Macaca mulatta: one gene and its partner. The protein of the gene in region 1 binds, or shares a complex with, the protein of each later gene. Links are inferred from orthologs where the notes say so. Each region holds a gene or a part of one and is shown in the gene's direction. Other genes may lie near its edges.

Region 1 (7,638 bases):
AGCCCTCTAGACCCCAGTTTTTGAGGATGATGGAGTCCGAGACTCAGCTCCTCTCCTTTGAGAACCTAGGAACCCGGACTCCAGCCCCTTCCTCCTTGGAGACAGGAATCCACCCCCAGCCCCTCTCCTATGAGCGCACAGGCCTCCAGCTCTCCTCTCCTTTGAGAACCCAGGAAAGCGTGGGGATCTCCCAGCACCCAGGCGCCTCCTTTGCGAAGGCAGAAATCAAAGTTACTCCCTGCACCCATACTAGGGACCCAGATTTGAAGACGTCCCTTTTTAAAACCCAGAAACAGCACCCCTCCCAGACCCTTCCTCTTCGACAGCCCAGGAATCTAGACCTCCGAGACCCCTCTTCCAGCGAGGATCCAGGAACCCAGACCCCCTCTTTGGATCCCCCATCCCCCAGCCCTTGTGAAACCAGATATCCGGACCCCCCAGCCCTTGTCCTTCGCGAGCACTCAGAGGAGCCCGGGCCTCCAGCCTCACCTCCTTCGGAGCTCCAGACCCCTCTCCTACGGAGAACCCGGGGATCGGACAGCCTTCCCTCCCCAGGCCCAGGCCCAGCCCCAACCCGTCCCGCGCACCCCAGCGTGGGTCGGATCCAATCCCCGGCAGATCCACAGGCGGTTGCGCCAGCCCCGAGCTCTAACGCGCCTCCGGGGCCGCCCCGCACCCACCAGCCTGCAGAGACCCTGCAGCCGTGTAACCTCGCCTTGCCACTGGGCGCCGCCACCCCGGCCCACCTGAGCTGCTCGCCGGGCAGGAGGCGGCCGAGCAGTCCCAGCCCGCGGGCCGCTGCGGCTCCGGCCACGCCTCCCCCGCGCAGCGCGCCCCCGCGCCGCCTGCTCCTTCTGGGCGCCCGCTGGGCCGCGCGGATCGGGGCGGGGATGAGGCCACGGTCAGGGTCCCGGGCGGGCAGGGAAGGAGCCCCAGAGCAGGCGACTGGAGCGCGAGTCGACAACGGGACTCGAGTCCAGGTCCACACCGGGCTCCGAGCCCCGAGAACGTGAAGGGGCAGGGCTTCGGGCTCGGAACAAGGAGGAGCCAAAAGCTTTGGACCCGAAGGGAGACAGACGGGATCCGGAAAGGAGGCGGGGTCTGGAGCTCGGCGTGAGGGATGAGGCGCGGTCTCCGTTCGGGTTCCTTCGGGCACAATCGGGAGCTTGAGTTCACGGGAGGCGGGGCCACAAACTTCGGCTCACTTCGGAGATAGTCGAGAACGGAGCGCTGGGGCTACTGTGGGCGGGGCCACATGTTTCGGCTTTCTTCGGAGATAGTCGATTCCTTAGTGTCACTGTTCCGATGTGGGCGGGACCACAGACTCGGCCGGATGTGGGTGGGGCCATATGCTTCGGTTTACTTCGTAGATAGTTGGGTACAAGGGACGCTAGGATGATAGGCGGAGTCAACAGGTTCGCGAGATGCTGATAAGGATTTACAGGGGGGCGGGGCGAAAGCGGCTTGCCCTCAAAGGGGCGGAACCCCGAGGGCCGGCGTGCGCCTAGGGCACGGGGCCAGGGTGACGAGCCTCAAGTTCCCAAGCTGAGGAGAGGAAGCGGCAGAGGGAGGTGCGCTCGGTGGGGCGGGGCCAAAGTGGTCACCGCGGGAAGAGGGCGGGGCTTCGAGCCTGCGAGGGGCGGGTCCTGACTCCCCCCGGCGCTGACGGGGCGGGATGACGAAGTTGACGAGAGGGTCGGCAAGAGCGGGTGGAGGAAGGAGCGCGTGGCGCGGTGCGTAGTGGGTGGCTCCGCCTCGACTGCGAGTTAGTGTTTATGAGGTGACTCGCTGGTTCTGTCCGTGGACCGTGGGACATTCTGAAGGGAAGCAAGGAGGCGGACTGAGCGCTCCCAAGTGGGGTGAGCCCGCCCGAGCGGAGAGCGGACGGCGGGTGCCCAGGGGGCGGGGCTTTCGGCTATGGGGTTCGGTCGTCGGGCGGGAACTCCCCATCGGGGGTGCGCTGGCGCTCGGAGGGGGCGGGGCCACAGCCTGCGGGACTGCCGGGAGCCGATGACGCCCGAATGCCGAACCTCAGGCGTCCGGCAGGAGGCGGGGCTACGGATTCGGCCGAGCCGAGAACACCCGAACGCCAAATTGCTCGCGTTCGAGAAGGGGGCGGGGCTGCGGATTCGGTGAAGCCAAGGACGCCCGACCGCCGCAATTCTTGTGCTCTGAAGGGGGCAGGGTTTTGTACTGTTGGAGTCTGAGCGCTTGTAGACCCGAAAGCCGAATCACAGTGGTTCGGAAAGAGGAGGAGCCAAGGCCGGAGCGTCCCGAAGTGGGTGTGGCCTTGGCAGTGCCTTAGCCTCGAGAGCTTCTGACCCCTGAGGGGGGCACCCGAAGGGGGACGCCCACTTTGCAAGAGGGTGGTGCCAAAATGGACCTTTGTAAGGGGGCGTGTCGCCGCGCTTGGGGAGGTTTGTTTTTGAGACTCCAAGGCACAATGGTAGGTACGGCAGTGTGGGCACAAAGCGGGTGCCGACTGCAGGGTCACAAGGGTAGAGCAGGGCCCCGGGGACGCGGCGAGGGGCGAGGGCTGCCGGTCGGTCTCCGGCGGCCGCGGGGCCTGGCGGGATCGCCCTGGGGTGGGGCCTGGCGCTCCGGCCCAGCAGGTGGTGAACGGCGGCTGAGCGAGGCCCCGCCCCCTGAGGACTAGGGGCGGGTCTTCGCCAAGACCCCGGAGGCTTTGGTTGTGCTCCGGTGGCCCGCGGCGCGCAGCCGTTTCGGTAACTGCTTTGCTTCCCGGCTCCCGCAGGAGGATGCTAGTGGTGGAGGTGGCGAACGGTCGCTCCCTGGTGTGGGGAGCCGAGGCGGTGCAGGCCCTCCGGGAGCGCCTGGGTGTGGGGGGCCGCACGGTAGGCGCCCTGCCCCGCGGGCCCCGCCAGAACTCGCGCCTGGGCCTCCCGCTGCTGCTGATGCCCGAAGAGGCGCGGCTCTTGGCCGAGATCGGCGCCGTGACTCTGGTTAGCGCCCCGCGCCCAGACCCTCAGCACCACAGCCTGGTAAGGGGGCGGGGCTCGAACGTCTGGGTTCGGTGGGAGCGGGACTTGGGAGTCAGGATTCCTGGTTTCCGAAGGGACCGTAAGCTTGGAGGTTCCAGCGAAGTGTGCTTCTCAGGCCCTGACAGCCTTCAAGCGCCAGCAAGAGGAGAGCTTCCAGGAGCAGAGCGCCTTGGCGGGATCCCTGGTGGGATCATAAGGGGGCGGGGCCGGGACCCCTGGGTTCGGTGGGAGCCGGGCCTGGGAGTCAGGATTCCTGGCTTCCGAAGGGACCGTAAGCTTGGAGGTTCCAGCGACGTGTGCTTCTCAGGCCCTGACAGCCTTCAAGCGCCAGCAAGAGGAGAGCTTCCAGGAGCAGAGCGCCTTGGCAGCTGAGGCTCGGGAGACCCGTCGTCAGGAGCTCCTGGAGAAGATTACGGAGGGCCAGGCTGCCAAGAAGCAGAAACTAGAACAGGCTTCAGGGGCCAGCTCGAGCCATGAGGCTGGCTCGAGCCAGGCTGCCAAAGAGAACGAGACCAGTGATGGCCAGGCTTCGGGAGAGCAGGAGGAAGCCGGTGAGTATGGGAGGTGGAGTCCACGAACCACGGGAAGGGGAGGAGAGATCTTTTGGAAATTTTAGCTGGGAATCCAGTGCCTGGGTCTCCCTGAGGGTGAGAAGACTTTGCCCCTTGGATTTACCAAACTCTTCTCTGTACTCCCCACCAGGTCCCTCCTCTTCCCAAGCAGAGCCCTCAAATGGGGTAGCCCCCTTGCCCAGATCTGCTCTCCTTGTCCAGCTGGCCACTGCCAGGCCTCGACCTGTCAAGGCCAGGCCCCTGGACTGGCGTGTCCAGTCTAAAGACTGGCCCCACGCCGGCCGCCCTGCCCATGAGCTGCGCTACAGCATTTACAGAGACCTGTGGGAGAGAGGGTTCTTCCTCAGTGCGGCTGGCAAGTTCGGAGGTGACTTCCTGGTCTATCCTGGTGAGTTTGGGTTGGGGCCTCTGGTTGCTGTGCCTTTCCATACGATCCCAATGTATTCTGCGTTTTTTTTTTCTTTCTTTTTTTTTTTGTCTTAATAGAGATGGGGTCTCTATTGTTGCTCAGGCTGGTCCCGTTTCCTGGGCTCAAGCAGTCCTCCCACTTCGGCCTCCCAAAGTGCTGGGATTACAGGCCCAGCTGCATTTTTTTTTTTTGTCTCACTTTCTCTTAGCCTCTGAAATTCATAGATGGACAGGAAACATTTTGGAGCTCCTGAACTCATTGGGAAAGCAGTTTAGCAACTTTTATTAAATGTTTACTATGATCCAGAAGATTCGCTTAGAAGTAGTTAGACATCAGGCTGGGCGCCATGGCTCACGCCTGTAATCCCAGCACTTTGGGAGGCTGAGACAGGTGGATCACCTGAGGTCAGGAGTTTGAGACCAGCCTGGCCAACATGGTGAAACCCCGTCTCTACTAAAAATACTAAAACTAGCTGGGTGTGGTGGGTAGGCGCCTGTATTTCCAGCTACTCAGGAGGCTGAGGCAGGAGAATCACTTGAACCCAGGGGGCAGAGGTTGCAGTGAGCTGAGATGGTGCCATTGCACTCCAGCCTGGGGAACAAGAGCGAGACTTCGTCTCAAAAAAAAAAAAAAAAAAGTCTAGAGCGGAATAGTTGGGTCCAAGAGCATCTGTTTTAGAGTATCCATAGTGATTGCTGAAATGATCTCAAATCTCCTCCCAGTGGTCATTCCTGTGGCATCCAGCCCTCTGCCATTGGTCACTGCTTCAGCGCTTCTCTCCCTCCCCTAGGTGACCCCCTCCGCTTCCATGCCCACTACATCGCTCAGTGCTGGGCCCCGGAGGACCCCATCCCACTCCAGGACCTGGTTGCTGCTGGGCGCCTTGGAACCAGCGTCAGAAAGACCCTGCTCCTCTGTTCTCCGCAGCCTGATGGTAAGGTGGTCTACACCTCCCTGCAATGGGCCAGCCTGCAGTGAACTCCAAGACCTAGGGGGACATGGCTGTGTCTGCAGCAAGAGCCTTTCTAGATGTTCCCCAGCTCTTCTCTGGGAGTCTAGAACATCCTCCTACCTTTCTCTGCGGTTAGTTTTTGATTCCAGGTTTTCGAACACTACATCCTTTTTATGTTCTTCCTTGTTTGAAAGCACTTATTGGCTGTGTTTTTGTAGTTACCTGTTTTCACACTGTGAGCTTCCTGAGAATGGGGCCTGGGTTTGATTCATCTGTTTTCTACAGGGTTTAAGTCTCAGGAGATCTCAATAAACTTGTTATATAAATGTTCATGATTTGAATGTTTATGATAAACCTGGAACCGGTGGATAGTCTCATCTGCATATACAGATGAGAAAAAGGCCTGGAGGAGGGGGAATGACTTGCCCAAAGTCACACAGTTAGTAAATAGCAGGCCTGGCCTTTCAAAATTGGTTTTCCTCACTCCTAAATCTGCACTCTTTCTACCGCACTAAACTTCCTTTTGAAAAGATTTCTACAAAATTTCCCAGATGCATACAAAGGTTATAAATAAAAATATAGGCTGGGCATGATGGCCCACACCTGTAATCCCACAGAACTTTTGGAGGCCAAGGCAGGAGGATCGCTTGAGTCTAGGAGTTTGAGACCAGCTCTGGCAACACTGTAATACCCATCTCTACAAAAAATAATTTTAAAAAAATTAGGGATCCCTTGAGCCCTAATTAGGGAAGTTGAGGCTGCTGTGAGCTGTGATTGCACCACTGCACTCCAGCCTGGGAGACAGAGCAAGATCCTGTCTTGAAAATCTATATGTATATATATGTGTGTGTATATATGTAAATATACACACACGTACGTGTGTGTATATATGTGTGTGTATATATATCGTGAAAGGAAATGAGTATTGTAATTTTAGGAGTTCAGAGCATGGGGAGAGTGTCAGGAATGACTCTGGAAGGCATTCTGCTTTTTCATGGCCTGGGTAGTGGTTGAGAATTTTTTTGATACTATACATTTATATTTTAGACTCTTTTTTTGGATTTGTTATATTCTGCAATTTTTATAAAAGCTAAAACACATGTATATGTATAAAATATGCACTTACGAAATCATTTATCCATGTTTTTGCTTAAGAAAGTACTAGAACACTACCACTATTCCAATAATTTCACCTTTATCTTATCAATATGCAGTTTTATTTTGTCACGTTTATTTTGTCAGTGTAATACATTCACATGGTGAGGCCGGGCGCAGGGGCTTACAATCCCAGCACTTTGGGAGGCTGAGGCGGGCAGATCACGAGGTCAGGAGTTCGACACCATCCTGGCCAACATGCTGAAACCCTGCCTCTACTAAAAATGCAAAAATTGAGCCAGGCTGGTGGCGGGTGCCTGTAATCCTAGCTACTTGGGAGGCTGAGGCAGGAGAATTGCTTGAACTCGGGAGGCAGAGGTTGCAGTGAGCCGAGATCGTGCCACTGCACTCCAGTCTGGGCGACAGAGCTAGACTCTGTCTCAATAAAACAAAAACAAACAAAAAAGACATTCACATGGTAAAGTTCTGGGGCTGAAAGTCTCCACCGCTAGTTCTTCAATTTCTTCCCCCCATGTTTCATTCTTTCTCTTTTTTGTGTGAATTGAGCAGCCTCTAGAACCAGAATAGGTTTAGAGAGACTCCCATCTTCCCTCTTTCTTGCCATTCCCAGTAAACAGACTCATAGAATCTCAATTTCCTTTAAGTTTAGATTAATTTAAAATATGATACTGGGCCAGGCGTGGTGGCTCACGCCTGTAATCCCAGCACTTTGGGAGGCTGTGGTAGGCAGATCACCTGAGGTCAGGAATTTGAGACCAGCCTGGCCAACATGGTAAAATCCCATCTCTACTAAAAATACAAAAAAAAATTAGCTGGGCGTGGTGGTGCACACCTGTACTCCTAGCTACTCAGGAGCCTAAGGCAGGAGAATCACCTGAACCCAGGAGGCAGAGGTTGCAGTGAGCCAAGATCGTGCCACTGTACTCCAGCCTGGGCAACAAGAGCTAAACTGCATCTCAAAAAAAAAAAAAAGACAAGACTCCATCTCAAAAAGAAAAAAGACCCCTGCCTGGCCAATACTCTCTTTGTGCCTGCTTCATAAGTGGCTTTGTATGTCTATTCTCCACCCTTTCTCCTGTCTACAACAAAGTACTTAGAAGTCTCATTACCTCTGTCAGGAGTCTCCGCTCTGAAATGTTCCTCATTTAAAACCCTTGTGGCTGGGTGTGGTGGCTCAGACCTGTAATCCTAGCAGTTTGGGAGGCCAAGGTGGGAAGATCAGTTGAGCTCAGGAGTTTGAGACCAGCCTGGGCTGAACATAGTGAGACCTCGTCTCGTCTCTATTTAAAAACAAAAAAACTTTTGTGACTGGTGTCCCCACATGTTGTCAGTCAACAAATTCTATAGGTGCCATGTTCAAAGCACTGTGGATCCACAGTTTGGCCCCACCCTCCACCTTCACTACCAGCATCTTAGAAAAACCGAACCATGGCTCATTTGATCTTGATAGCTTCCTAACTCATGCCCTGCCTGCTATTCTTGCCCCTCTATTGTCTGTTTTCAACAGAGCAGCCAGAATCATCATATTAAAAGTTAAGTCAGACCATGTCATAGCTCTGTCTAAAACTCGCCTGGAGTTTTCCATCT
Region 2 (6,521 bases), on another chromosome or scaffold:
AGATATTGGTGTGCCACTTTTGAAGAAGGAAAATACTTAGCTACTAAAAGATTTGCGTTGAAGAATCAATTGTGATATGCTGCCTTTTATCACAGTGTGATTTCCCATCAGTGCTGAGTAATGAAGTTTCTGATTAATATCTATAGTTGCTTTATCAGAATATCTTTCTCTAAAGTAAATCATTCTTATGAATAAGAATCTAGCTAATTGTAATATAGTTCAGCATAGGTGGAAATAATTTTTTAAGGACTAAGTCAATTTCTGGGATTCAGACTGTTTCAGAAAATAACCATTTTCTATAATTCCACTAATGGCACAGTGTAACTTAGTATGTTTGGGTTAGTATTCAGTTTTAGCAATAATCATGGAGGCAGGGTTATCTATAAATATTATATCCCAATTTGCAAGGTAGCAAAGCTGGTATATGTACTACATAATATGACCACTTGACAGTTTACGAAGTCTTTTCATATATGCCATTTAATTGATTCATATAATAATCTTATGTGTAGACATAAGGGTGTACTACTATCTTCATTTCAAGTATCCTTGAAAAGACTTTCTCCGTTGAATTGCCTTTGTACCTTTGTCAAAAATCAACTGACCAGGCTTATAGCAGGTTAAGAAGTAACTTATATGACAGTATTAACACAAAGGATGGGGGAAGGAATGAAGCTATATTGGAGTAAACAGTGACACCAGATAGTTACATGAAGAAATGAAGAATACCTGAAATATTAAATATGTGAATGTAAAAAGACCCTAATATATTTTCCTTTCTCCTCTTAACTTTATAAAAAGAAAATTATATAAAGTAATAATTATAACACTATATTACTGGGTTTAAATATATAAATGTATATGACAATAATAGCATAAAGGAGGAGGAAAGGAATAAAGCTCTATTGGAGCAGTTTATATTTTTTAGAATCAAGTTAGTGTTAAGCTGAGAGAAATTGTGATAAACTAAGACACAATAGTAATCTCTAGAGTCACCACTAAGAAACTCAAGAAACTATAGTAAAAAAAAAAATTATTAATTAAAATGGCGTACTAGAAAATACCTATTTAATAGAAAAACAAGGTGATAAAGGAGGGTGAGAGGAAGAAAAAAGACATGTGATATATAGAAAACAAATAGCTAAATGGCAGGCATGAATCCAACCATACCAATGTTAATTTTAAATGTGAATAAACACTCAAAAGGGCAGAGATTGTCAGATTGGAGCTAAAAACAAGATCCAACTATATGCTGTCTATAAAAGATATACTTCAGATTCAGAGACATCAATTTTGGAAAACTGTCAACTATTTCTATACCATTCTCTTTCCTTTCCTTCTGTGATTCCAATGATGTGTATGTTAAACTTATTTGATACTATACCAGAAGCTTCTGATGTTATTTTTTTAAATTATTTTTTCTCTTTGTACTTCAGTTTGGTTTCTTGTGACCTGTTTTCAAGTTTTCTAGTGCTTTCTTCTGTGTCACATCTAGTCTAATTGAGTGACCGCAACTCCTAAGTATATTGTGACTTTATTTTCAGGATAAGGGAGATCTTGAAGGCATCTCGAAAATTGCAAGGTGATCCAGATTTGCCGATGTCTTTTACTTTGGCCATAGTGGAGTCTGATTCTACAATAGTCTATTATAAACTTACTGATGGATTTATGCTGCCAGACCCTCAGGTCAGTTTTGAGGTAACTGACAGCAACAAGTACAAAAAGAGGAAAATTATGACATGATTTTAAGTGTGACTCAAGTCATTCACAGAACTGCCACTTCCTTTGCCATAGGGAAAATTCAAGAAAAAAAGTATTGATTTTCATACCTCAGAAAATTGGCTATATTTTGTTCAAAGTAGTGTATTCCTAGTTATTGTTGCAAAAAAATTGATTTCCTTACTCTATGGAGAATTTCATGGTTTTCCAAAGTATTTTATGAAGTCATCATGCATTTAATTATTTAGTGAGTAACTGAGGTGGAATGTAAAGGCTAACAATAGTTGTAACTAAAAAAACGCTTCTTTAAGAAATGTTAAATTGGTTGACATTTTGACAGGAACATTTTAATAAGATAAATGGGCTATATGTGATTTCTTTACATACTTTGTTGGCATAATTTGGATAATTACATTAAATAGCTTTCTAATTTTGCTTTTGGATTACATTGTTTATTGGAGAAAAGTCCATTCTGATCTTTTTTTTTTTTTCCAGAATATTTCTCTTAGAAGATGACATCTGTGTTTCCTGATGCTTGTTTTATTCATACAAGATTGGATTTGAGAACCATCAGACTGCTTTTATCTCAGAGATAGTCAGGGTTGACTTAAATAGTGAGGGTTGACTTCCCCATTCCATAAGGTTTTCATTCTGAAGAATAAAACTTCCCTAGATAGAAGACTTTCTCCTTCTTAAAAAATATAGAGTGATTTCTTTAAAACTTTCTTATCTAGAGACAGTTTAATTACAGTTGTATACAGGTTTATGCCTAGGATGTGTTCAAATGGGTGGGACCTGTCTGCTGCTTTTGTCATCCCACACTCATAGTTGCCTCTTGGTTTCTTGCTGCCACTGCCAGCTCATTGTTGAGACTGCTATCTCTTTTTCTCACTCAACTCTCCCCAGTGCGTTTTGGCCACTGCAGCTATGTTAGAATGGCATTTTATATATACCTTGTCACCTACTTCTGCCTGCTTTTTCCTCTCCAGTAGAAAGTAAAAGATTTCTTTCAATTGGTCTTCCTGTTGCAATTACTGTTATTTCTCTTTTTTGGTTAACTTTAAATCAAAACTCAAAATATGTTCATCCAGAGTGTAAACTTAAGTGTCTTGAGTAACAGGAACCAGAGACATGTTACCTACAAGAGTTCTGGGCTATCCTTTTCATTCTTATCACATATCATAGCTTGAATGTTACAAGAGTGTGGGAGAGTATGAACCTTAAAAATGTCTTCATTAATTAGACCCAGTTATTCCACTTTTGTTAATGTCTCTCAAATTGTACAAAGTATGAAAAATTATATGCACAAAGATATTCCAAGTGACATTACTTTTAGTAGCCCAAATTATAAACCACTTTAAAGTTTGGGGTAAAGATTGGCAAACTTTTTCTATAAAGGGCCAGAAAGTAACTATTTTAGGTTTTTAACCTACTGTCTCTGTCATAACTTGTCAACACTGCTGTATGAAGCACAAAAGCAGCCACAGACAATACATAAACAATATGGGCGTGGCTTTGTTCCAGTAAAACTTTATTTACAAATGTGGCGCCATAGTTTGCATCCCTGCATCTAAGGAATAGTCAATAAACAGATATATACAAATGGTACATAATGTACTTACTAAAAATTAGTAATGAATATTATTAAAAGCATGAAAATGTTACATTAAGTAAAAATTGCAAGATGGAAAAGTGTATGAGTGGATGTAATCATGGCTGAAATAACAGACCAAGCATTCTATAAAAAGATAACAAAGTAAATCAAATTACTAACCGGTTATAGTGGGATGGGAGGCAGAAAATGGATGACTTTGTCTTTTCTTAATGTTTTTATTTGTATTTCTTTTATAATAAAAATGTTTTAAAATTAAAAAGTGTCTTGAAATCTGTATTAGTTATCTATCATTGCAAAATAATATTACCACAAATGTAGCAACTTAAAACAGCACACATTTATTATCTTATAGTTTTTGTGGGTAAGGGACCTGGGCACAGATTAGTTGGGTCCTCTGTGAGGCTCCAGTCTCATCTGAGACTTGACCGGGGAGGGGTCAGCTTTTTCACCCACATGGTTATTAGTAGCCTTCAGTTCCTTGAGAGTGCTCAATGCTTATGTGCCATTGGCAGGAGGCCACCCTCAACTCTTTGTCACATGGGCCTTCTCAATATAACTGGTTGCTTTCTCAAAGCCCGCAAAGGAGAGTCTCAGCAAGATGGACTGTATAATCTTATATAATGTAATCACATACATCCCATCACCTTTGCCATATTCTGTTGGTTGGAAGCAGGTCATAGGTCCTGCCTACACACTAGGGTTTCATGGCTGATTAGGAAACAATAATAACAAGAATGGAAAAAATGATGAAAATTAGGACCATCACAAAATAGTATAAAGCATCATTCTTCATCTGTAGTCATTCGTGACTCCTTCCTTGGATGGTATTTGAATTTCACTTTTATTCTTGGTGGGAGGTCTCCATAACTCCTTCAGGCTCCCTCTGCTTCCCCAGAAGACATGAAGATGCACCTATTCGGAATGATATGTGTTTTGGTGACTCTAGTGGAAAATTTGCAGGCCTAAGAATCCTAAAACAGTTTATGATAAATTCTTAGGGTCTCTTGATTTGTTAAGTCTCTCATTTGATTAATTTTGAGGTCTTTCATTATAATTCCAGAAAATAGCATTTTCTGAAAGAAGTGTAAGGATAATGAATGTCAGATTTGTGTGTCAGATCTGTTGACCAGTGGGCTCCTATATAACTACAAAACCGAAAGTGTCATTTGGGATTGGCTGTGAAAGGTGCTTTCTCAACTCTTTAAAACTAGGATTCAATCCTGCTGTATGTCTTGCTATGTTTACTCTATTTCAGAATGTTCCCTGTGTACTTGACCAAAGTTGTTCTGTCCAAAGCCAGCCAGATACATCCTAACATGAATAATGGCCCAGAACTGTTTGGAAAGGGAGGCCACCCAGCTGTGTGTGTCTCATTTTAATGAAAAACTAGATAAAGTGATTTAAGTAATTTTGTAATTGAGTTTACATTTGTCTCCTTGTTAGACTGGACTCCTTAAGAACATAACAAGAAATCATGTATTTTTTAATATATCTCTGTATCCTGCCTCTTTGCACAGTAACTCACATATAGTAAACCCACAGTAAATACTTGGCAAATGAATGAATGCTGATTATAGACATGTCTGATTATATAATGGCTTATTTCTTCCCTCAAGGCAAATAAAACAATTCATTTGAACACCAGAGGGCACTGCTAGATAACCACAGCATTTTCAGACTCTACTAAGAGTAGATTGGCTGGAGAAGTGATGCTCTTGAACATTTATTTTCAATCTGTGGGAAATAGCATAAATAAAAATATAAGTAAATTTTACATACTCACATCCCCTTTTTCTTTCTGGCATGCCTCTAAAATTATACTGACATTAAATACGTGACTTGATTCATGCTTTGCTTGAAATGTAGATCTATATTTAGAAATAAAAGGCTGTTTGGGGTAGGAGTAGATGGGGTGGGATATACTGGCTAAGTGCTGATGGTGAAAGATATGTATTGCTGCTTTAATACAAGCAGGTATGCCTTGTTATATTACAATTCTCTTTATTCTGTTTTGGAGATAATGTGTTTTTTACAAATTGAAGGTTTGTGGCAACCCTGCCTCAAGCAAGATTGTCGATGCCATTTTTCCAACATGTGATCATTTTGTATCTCTCTGTCATATTTTGGTAATTCTTGCAATATTTTAAACTTTTTTATGATTATTATATCTGATATGGTAATCTTTTTATCAGGGATATTTGATGTTACTATTGTAATTGTTTTGGTGTGCCACAAATTGTGCCCATATAAGACAGCAAACTTAGTTGATAAATGTTATGTGTGTTCTGACTGCCCTACCAACCAGGCTTTCTGCGGTTTCTCTCCCTTCTGGCTTCCCTATTCCCTGAGAAATAGCAATATTGAAATTAGGCCAATTAACAACCCTACAGTGGCCTCTATGTGTTCAAGTAAAAGGTAGAGTAGTACATCTCTCACTTTAATTCAAAAGCTAGAAACGATTACACTTAGAGAGAAAAACATGCCAAAAGATGAGATAGGCCGAAAACTAGGCCTCTTGTGCCAAACAGCAAGTTGTGAATGCAAAGGAAAAGTTATGGAAGGAAATGAAAAGTGCTACTCCAATGAACACATGAATGAGAGTCAAACAGCCTTATTATTGATATGGAGAAAGCTTGAGAGGTCTGCAGAGAAGATCAAACCAGCTACCACATTCCCTTAAGCCAAAACCTAATCCAGAGCAAGGCCCTACCTCTCTTCAATTCTGTGAAGGCTGAGAGAGGTAAAGAAACTGCAGAAGAAAAGTTTGAAGCTAGTAGAGCTTGGTTCATGAGGTTTAAGGAAAGAAGCTGTCTTCATAACTTAAAAGTGCAAAGTGATGCAGCAAATCGTGATGTAGAAGCTGCAGTAAATTATCAAAAAATCTAGCTAAGATAATTGTTGAATGTGACTTTATTGAATAACAGGCTTTAAATGTAGACAGAACAGCCTTATATTGAAAAAAAAAATGCCATCTAGGACTTTCATGGCTAGAAAGAAGCCAATGCCTGGCTTCAAAACTTCAAAGGATGGGCTAATTCTCTTGTCTGGGGCTAATGCAGCTGATGACTAAATTAAAGCCAATGTTCATTTACCATTCTGAAAATCCTGGAGTCCTTAAGAATTATGCTCAATCTGCTCTACTTATACTCTATAAATGGAACAACCATGCCTGGATGAAAGCACATCT

The links.
Region 2: the proteins of TSEN34 (region 1) and TSEN15 are in contact, whole or in part, in a crystal structure (PDB 6Z9U), measured with the Homo sapiens proteins. The link is inferred for Macaca mulatta from reciprocal best matches to the Homo sapiens genes TSEN34 and TSEN15. Residues at the interface, in NP_001070914.1 of Homo sapiens: Pro251, Leu252, Arg253, Phe254, His255, Ala256, His257, Tyr258, Pro265, Glu266, Asp267, Thr268, Ile269, Pro270, Leu271, Gln272, Leu274, Ser283, Val284, Arg285, Lys286, Thr287, Leu289, Leu290, Cys291, Ser292, Gln294, Val300, Tyr301, Thr302; in NP_443197.1 of Homo sapiens: Leu70, Lys74, Trp76, Thr108, Pro109, Ile110, Thr111, Ala112, Ser113, Leu114, Ser115, His116, Asn117, Ile119, Arg120, Leu123, Leu141, Ile143, Val151, Tyr152, Tyr153, Lys154, Leu155, Thr156, Asp157, Gly158, Phe159, Met160, Leu161, Pro162.

What each region holds. Positions count from the first base shown.
Region 1 is NC_133424.1:66,426,317-66,433,954, forward strand, and holds TSEN34 (tRNA-splicing endonuclease subunit Sen34), read left to right. Parts: upstream 1-1,774; 5' UTR 1,775-1,775; coding exon of another isoform or gene 1,776-1,780; 5' UTR 1,781-1,859; intron 1,860-2,702; exon of another isoform or gene 2,703-2,755; coding exon of another isoform or gene 2,756-2,759; coding exon 2,760-3,002; exon of another isoform or gene 3,003-3,309; coding exon 3,310-3,553; exon of another isoform or gene 3,554-3,704; coding exon 3,705-3,962; exon of another isoform or gene 3,963-4,121; intron 4,122-4,355; exon of another isoform or gene 4,356-4,773; coding exon 4,774-4,961; 3' UTR 4,962-5,053; downstream 5,054-7,638. UniProt on the Homo sapiens protein: Constitutes one of the two catalytic subunit of the tRNA-splicing endonuclease complex, a complex responsible for identification and cleavage of the splice sites in pre-tRNA. It cleaves pre-tRNA at the 5'- and 3'-splice sites to release the intron.
Region 2 is NC_133406.1:41,545,976-41,552,496, forward strand, and holds the end of TSEN15 (tRNA-splicing endonuclease subunit Sen15), read left to right. Parts: intron 1-1,544; coding exon 1,545-1,698; intron 1,699-2,214; coding exon 2,215-2,235; coding exon of another isoform or gene 2,236-2,251; 3' UTR 2,252-3,593; downstream 3,594-6,521. UniProt on the Homo sapiens protein: Non-catalytic subunit of the tRNA-splicing endonuclease complex, a complex responsible for identification and cleavage of the splice sites in pre-tRNA. It cleaves pre-tRNA at the 5' and 3' splice sites to release the intron.